2 linked regions of the Arabidopsis thaliana genome follow. The protein of the gene in region 1 interacts with the protein of each later gene in a pairwise test. Each region holds a gene or a part of one and is shown in the gene's direction. Other genes may lie near its edges.

What was found.
Region 2: the proteins of MPPalpha (region 1) and TIM23-2 interact in a two-hybrid assay, tested with the Arabidopsis thaliana proteins (one study listed by BioGRID).

The regions. Positions count from the first base shown.
Region 1 is NC_003074.8:5,598,098-5,601,853, forward strand, and holds the start of MPPalpha (mitochondrial processing peptidase alpha subunit), read left to right. Parts: upstream 1-1,612; 5' UTR 1,613-1,808; coding exon 1,809-1,847; intron 1,848-2,136; coding exon 2,137-2,370; intron 2,371-2,452; coding exon 2,453-2,749; intron 2,750-2,835; coding exon 2,836-3,003; intron 3,004-3,114; coding exon 3,115-3,282; intron 3,283-3,371; coding exon 3,372-3,449; intron 3,450-3,522; coding exon 3,523-3,589; intron 3,590-3,710; coding exon 3,711-3,756.
Region 2 is NC_003070.9:27,381,209-27,384,964, forward strand, and holds TIM23-2 (translocase inner membrane subunit 23-2), read left to right. Parts: upstream 1-2,156; 5' UTR 2,157-2,347; coding exon of another isoform or gene 2,348-2,368; coding exon 2,369-2,935; 3' UTR 2,936-3,316; downstream 3,317-3,756. Other genes in the region: AT1G72740 (Homeodomain-like/winged-helix DNA-binding family protein), read right to left, coding at 1-40, 498-582, 726-940, 1,330-1,479; AT1G72755 (uncharacterized protein), read right to left, coding at 2,348-2,375, 2,573-2,610. UniProt on the Arabidopsis thaliana protein: Essential component of the TIM17:23 complex, a complex that mediates the translocation of transit peptide-containing proteins across the mitochondrial inner membrane. Links the inner and outer membranes.

The DNA.
Region 1 (3,756 bases):
ATTAAATTCTCTTTTCATCCAATACTAACCACTTTTTTTTTCTGCCAATACTAACCACTTTTTCTTTTCTTTTTGAGAGACTTTATATTCAACCAACTCGTGCTTCACGAGGGATGGAAGCTTTGATTAGTTAGGACTTAGGAACTTGTATTAATCTAAATATCTTTTTTTTTTTAAAATTGAATCTACCTTACAACATAAAATTTGTAAAGAGAATTCCAAAATTCCAAAAAAAATCACCTAAAATTTTAAAATCGTGAAAGCAGCATCGTAAAGATGTTCTCTTCTGTTTTTTTTTTTTTTTTTTAACTCTCTTTTGAATATTGGATTAGAGATTTTCACAGTGTCGTAGATTCTTCGTAGAGTCTGTTATGAGTTGACATTTACCATAGGAATTGCATTATCGTGAGAAGGTTAAATGATAAATTGACATTTATAAATTCTCAAAATGTAGGTTATGAGTTGTCAAAGAAATGTAGGCTATGAAAAAAAAAACTTACGTCTAAAAAAATGCAAAGTTAAGAAAGAAATACTCAAAGTTCGTGGCATTTGACCATCTCTCAGCTACACCTCAAATTATAGCTCATGAGAATGGCCCATGAATATGATTGTGGCTCCGTTAATCACGTGGTATTAAAACTCACACACGACCATTTCTCATCTGCCTCCAATTATAGCGAAACCGTTACAACTCGTTGTTCACGTGAGCATCAAAATGTGCATTACTCCTTTCAAGTTCGGCAAATCCTAATTATCCATTTTAATGGACTGCAGAGACTTTAATTAGAGCTTATAGAACTTTAAACATTTTGGTTTAAATCTTAAAATAGAAATTTAACCAATCTCAAATGATTTTTTTTTCTTTTCTTTTGGCATAAGTTTCATAACTCGATGATGAATGCTACGATAATATAGACATACAGTATGATGATTAGATGAAAACAGATAAAGAAGAAAAAGTGTATCGTACGCCCCACTCGGTGATAATGATTAATGAGACTATATATGAGAGTACCCAAATATGATTTTTTCCACTCATGAATCGTATTGCACTATTTCTGCATTATTAAGATAGACCCACATTTAACATTAGACCAAAAAAAAAAAAAGATAGACCCACACCACCTGTTATAGTATTTAGTATTTTTACACATCCACTAAACGACGACAATTGACAAAATCACACAAACCTTTCTCCTTTATTCATTTTTGTTTAATTCGGGTCCCTTGCTTTTTAGCATTCGGCTCTCATTCTTATCTTCCCATGGATGGATAGTCATAGTTATATAATACAGTTCAATTGAAGTTATGCAGTATATATATGCACCACACACGAGTCTTCTATATATGTGGATACTACGTTTCAAAATAATTCTATTAACTTAGAGAAGATAAACTTTCTTAGTACTTTTTTCGTTTCACTTTACACACACCTCAAAAAAATTCTTGTTTCATTTGTGACTGCATGTAAATGTCGTTACCTTACTTGAATTTTTACACAATGGTACGTGAAAAAGAAAAGAAAAAAAATATAATTGAGAGAAAATATAATAGGATCACACCACTACAATACATGGGCTTTAAATTCATCTTTTCTATATGTTATAATTTGGGCCAAGACTATTATATCATATGGGCCTATCAATGTAATTAGAAGCAATTGCCCGATCCAATAACCTTAATTAGGAAAAAAAATCGTTCCCTTCTCTCGTTTCTTTTCAGCTCTGACTCGGCCTCTATCTCTCTCCCGTCGTCAGCCACATTCACCGGTACTCATCTGACCAAGCTAGGGTTTCGCAGTCATCATCATGTACCGTACGGCAGCTTCTCGAGCCAAGGCCCTTAAGGTCAATGTCCTACTTCACTTGTTTCCATTGAGATTCTGGTTTTTTTAGGAGAATGCTTAGTATTGAACAATTTGTATGATTCATTGTTTTTGGATTTGGATTAAAGGGTCTCTTAGATTCTTATAGATCTTGATTCAATTTTATCGCTTTATAGTAGCTGGTGCCATTATTCATGCTTTTTGCAGGTTTATGAAATGTCTCTGTTTCGAAAGTTCTTATTTTTACAATGTTAATTGAATCAAGAGATTAATGATGCTTAGGATGTGTGTGTGTGTGTGTGTGTTTATAGGGCATTCTAAACCACAATTTTCGAGCTTCTCGTTATGCAAGTTCTAGTGCTGTTGCAACGAGCTCTTCTTCCTCCAGCTGGCTAAGTGGAGGCTACTCTAGTTCACTTCCTTCTATGAACATTCCCTTGGCTGGTGTCTCTCTTCCACCACCACTCTCTGACCATGTTGAGCCTAGCAAACTTAAGACCACTACTCTTCCAAATGGTCTGACTATAGCCACTGAGATGTCTCCGGTGAGAGCTTCTTTTAGTAATCCCAACATCAACTTCCTGTTAAAAACTACTGGAAAGTGATTTTGAGTGAAATTTTGTTCAGAATCCAGCAGCTTCCATTGGTTTATACGTTGACTGTGGTTCTATTTATGAGACTCCTCAATTCCGTGGAGCGACGCACTTGCTTGAAAGGATGGCATTCAAGAGTACATTGAACAGAAGCCATTTTCGCCTTGTAAGGGAAATAGAGGCTATTGGAGGTAATACTTCAGCTTCTGCATCCCGAGAGCAGATGGGTTACACAATTGATGCTCTCAAAACCTATGTTCCCGAAATGGTTGAAGTGCTTATTGATAGTGTGAGGAACCCTGCTTTTTTGGATTGGGAAGTGAATGAAGAGGTACTTCATGTCATGTTGCATGTATCTCACAAACATTAAAGCTAAGCAATTTTTTTACACTGTTTTCATCATTTTTCTCCTGGCAGCTCCGAAAGGTGAAAGTAGAGATAGGAGAATTCGCAACGAATCCAATGGGTTTTCTTTTGGAGGCAGTTCATTCTGCTGGTTACTCTGGCGCATTGGCAAATCCATTGTATGCACCTGAATCTGCAATTACTGGATTGACTGGGGAGGTCTTGGAGAATTTTGTTTTTGTAAGACCGTTAACACAAGAGATTATTGCATTCGCTGGAACTAGTATCACTGGCTTTTGGTTTGTTATTTCGTAGATGTGTCTTTTTTCTCATTTTGTTCTGAAATTTCAGGAGAATTACACTGCTTCACGAATGGTCCTAGCAGCTAGTGGAGTTGATCATGAAGAACTTCTAAAAGTGGTTGAGCCATTACTATCTGACCTCCCTAATGTACCCCGACCTGCGGAGCCAAAGTCTCAATATGTCGGTGGAGATTTCCGTCAACATACGGGTGGAGAGGTACAAATATGACGTTTCAATGGGCTTCTTTGAGTAAAAGAAGGTTTATTATTCCTAATATCTTTCTTTTTTTGTTTCACCATTCTCAGGCTACACATTTTGCGCTTGCTTTTGAAGTGCCAGGATGGAATAACGAGAAGGAAGCTATCATTGCAACTGTTCTTCAGGTGCCTGACTCAAATACATTACTTGATCTTTCAAACGCAAAGACTTAATTGTGTAAAATCCAATTCTTATCAGATGCTTATGGGAGGAGGTGGCTCATTTTCTGCGGGAGGCCCTGGAAAAGGAATGCACTCTTGGCTCTGTAAGTCTCTGAATGTGTTCTCTTTCTACTTGCGGTTTTTCAACACTCATGTTTTAATGTAAGTTAGTTATTTGTTGGTCATGATGATGATGAGATTGGTTTCTTTATTGTCTGGATGCAGATCTTCGCCTTTTGAACCAACATCAGCAGTTTCAATCATGCACTGC
Region 2 (3,756 bases), on another chromosome or scaffold:
TAAGGATTCTTCTAAAATTTGGCGGTACTTCATGCCTGGGCTGCTCTTTCCACAGTAAACCATTGTTAGCACTCAGTCGTAAGGTCCAATACAAAAGCTATTATATAGCCAAATGTGATAAAAGAATAACAGAAAGTGACCAAATTTAAGTAAAATCAAGAGTTCTAACATTTTTTCAGATATGCATAGTGGACAGCTTCACGACAAGTATTATCATACTATAAAACGTCAAAGTACAAATAATTAGTAGTATAAGACTTTACATTTAGAACTCGGTGTTCTCATTTGAGAAGGACGAATCATCTAAGATTGCTGATAGTAGTAATAAGCCATTTGCACAAGTCAATGTAAGATAGAGTTTACACGTGCCAATAACATAACTATCCCTCCCACATATATAGATGATGTCTCTAATAATCTGTTAAGTAGTTTACAAAGCGAGCACATATAATTTTCTGATCTGTGCATAATAAATAGCAGAGAGAAATTTGTCAAACCTCAATGAAATGATAAATGGAACTGACATCAGATCCATTACCATCGGCTAAAGCAGAGAGAGCTTCAAATATCACCCCGTCATACCTGAAAATAGGGACATATCAGAAGTTTAGCAATACATGATGAAGATTATTACTCAGAGTTGATAGACTAGCATTTATGGAACTAGTCTCTCATCATACTTTCTGGCCTCAAGTATGAGAAATAGAGAACAAAGAAAGACAAACCTAGGAGCATTCTTTGTATTTTCATCAGGGATCAACTCAGAAGGTAAAGTACGCCGACCGGGAGGAGGTGGAATAGTAGGAATAGGCCGTGGAATAGTGACAGCATCATTTGCATCTGCAGCCGGAGTGTCGCCTTCCTCTTTGACTTTTGCTGGCCGTGCCTTATTAGTTAAACTTTGAGTACCAGGGGGAACACTCAAGTTACGCCACTTATCCTATTAAGTATTGAAACACACAAAATTTTCAAACTCTTCTTCATAAGACTACCACCAAGTAAAAGAAATCCATAGCAAAATGAAGGACAGTACTACTCTTTCCACCTCAAATCTCCAACTCAACCAAGCTAGCTTTAGGTATTGCACACTTGAATCAATAAAAAAAAAAACTTATAATCTATCCAAGGAATCTCTAATCCTATAACCAATGATAAGAGGCAACACTAATAAAACCTATTGCCAAAAGTTTTGATTTTTTATGGATCTTAAACTAAGCAGATACGACAGAGTACATAATGCACTCCGGGTTGGTCTCAAATTCGATGTCTAGGTTTAATATATGGTTCAACGAGAGTGATTTTAAAGAGGTGAGTGAAGAAAAGAGAAACCTTTAGGTCAATGTTGGAGCGATGGATGAGCTGATCAGCGAATTCTGGATCCCGGAGAATATTCTTCCACTTTCCAGGACCGTGCTTTCTGATTCCGGCGAGTAACGCCTCCTCTTCCTCCGCCGTCCACTTTAGTTTCTGGTTTCCCATCTAACCCTTGCGTGATTTACCTCGTGCTCTCTCTCTCTCTCCAAGACAATCGGCGTGTAAACGGAGTTAGACGCAGTCTCTTCGCCGTAGCTTTCGCCGGAGGTTTCGTTTATTTTTGGCTCTGCGCAGTTGTGTGACTGCGGGAGGAGGTTTCCAGTTTGCAAAACTTTTTCGATTATTTACTTCCGAATTTATGCTTTTTATTTTGTCTTCTATTTACGCTCTCGAAATTAAATCGAATTTTTTTTTTTGGCCTTTTGACTTAAATTAAAAACAAATAAGCTTTGTATTTGAATCCTTAATTATTTTATTTGAAGTTTAGTTCTCTAAATAAAAACTGATGACAAAAAAAATTCATAAAATTAGGTTCGTTCGTCGTAAAAATATTTCTGACATTATAAGAGAAACACCTGAAAATTCGAGGATGTTTGGTTGTCACGATGGATTGCAATTTTGCAAAGTAATTAAGTATGACTTTGAAAAGTCCAATGTTGAAGAGGTTAATTTTGTAAAAATTAAACTTATGGGGTCACATTCGAAATATCAGCAAATACAGTGTGTGGTGGTAAGAGAAAACCAACTTGGGTTTAAATAGAGAAAATAAAATAAATGGGGTTAAGTTCGAAATAAACGTAAACGCGAGTATTAAGCGAATCTGGTACTGCGCGTATCTGGAAACAACTGGACTGAGTCTTTCCCTAAAAACCCTAAACATAGATTTTTAGTTTAGTTTGGTTTCATTTCTCATTTCGGCAACCAAACCAAACATTCAGAGAGACACAACACAACCACATCATCACACGTTTCTCTCTCTCTCTTTCCTCTCCGTCGTCTCTCTCTCTCTAGCCACCACCAAAATCCTTAAAACCTAGACTTTTCTCTTCCATCGATGGCGGCTAATAACAGATCCGATCATGGGTCAGACGAAAACACAAGACTTTACAATCCTTACCAAAACTACGAAGTCCCAATCAACAAATCTCAGTACCTTTACAAGCTTCCTACCTCCCCTGAGTTTCTCTTCACGGAGGAGGCTTTAAGGCAACGTAGATCTTGGGGTGAGAATCTCACTTTCTACACCGGAACAGCTTACCTCGGTGGCTCCGTTGCCGGAGCTTCTGTTGGAGTCATCACTGGAGTCAAAAGCTTCGAATCTGGCGACACTACTAAGCTCAAAATCAACAGGATCTTGAACTCTTCTGGTCAAACTGGTCGAACTTGGGGTAATCGGATTGGTATCATTGGATTGGTTTACGCAGGGATCGAGAGTGGTATTGTGGCTGCCACGGATAGAGATGATGTTTGGACCAGTGTGGTGGCTGGTCTTGGAACCGGAGCTGTTTGTAGAGCGGCGAGAGGAGTGAGATCTGCAGCTGTAGCTGGTGCTCTTGGTGGACTTGCGGCTGGAGCTGTTGTAGCTGGGAAGCAAATTGTGAAGCGGTATGTGCCCATTTGAAGACTGCAAGAGTCTAATTGGCAGACTCTTTTTCGGGTCGTTGTTGAAATTTTTGATAGGGGAAATGGTGAGAATTTGATAGGTTTGGTATGTCTTGGAATCATAAAAATGAAAACTTTATTTGGTTTCTAGAGGTACAACAAGTCTGTATGTCAAGTCATAATGCAGTTTCACTTTGAAGAATAACCTGCAAACCTTTTTCTTATATTCATACTGATTAAATGTTTTGCCGATTGGTAATTTAATTTGTCATGAGTGTGTTTGTTCTAGTTAGTGTTTTATGTTTCTGTTTTTGATCAATGTTAACTCTTTCTTGATTCGTTGAGAAACTGATGTGTTGTATTACATTTGAAAATGAAGCTCTTCTCTCAAGTTTTTTCTTATCATTTTGTTAATTGGGATGGTGTAGTGTGTTCACATAATTGTATACCTCTGTTTATCTCATTGAGTACTAACCTGATATTTGATGGTGTTATTTTGTTACCTATTATATCCCCCTGGTTCTATTTCTCTGGACTGTTCTCTGCTCTTAGCTATTAATTTTGTCTCCAAGATTTCACAAGCTTATGATGATGGATCAGTCACTTTTGGTTTTGTGGTTTTTGGTTCTCAAGTCTCAGGCATATTGTGTAGCAAACCTTCTCTAAACTCTTACCGTCTCTAGACCTTATCAGCTGCTCTAAATGAAGAACAAATAGTGTCCTCTAATCTTTTTATTAAAGCCTTAAACTTTCAGTTTTGCAGCTTGCTTAGAATTTTTGTTTTGTTTCAGAAGATCATGTACCTGCAAAATGACATTTCGTCTGATTTCTTCATTCGAA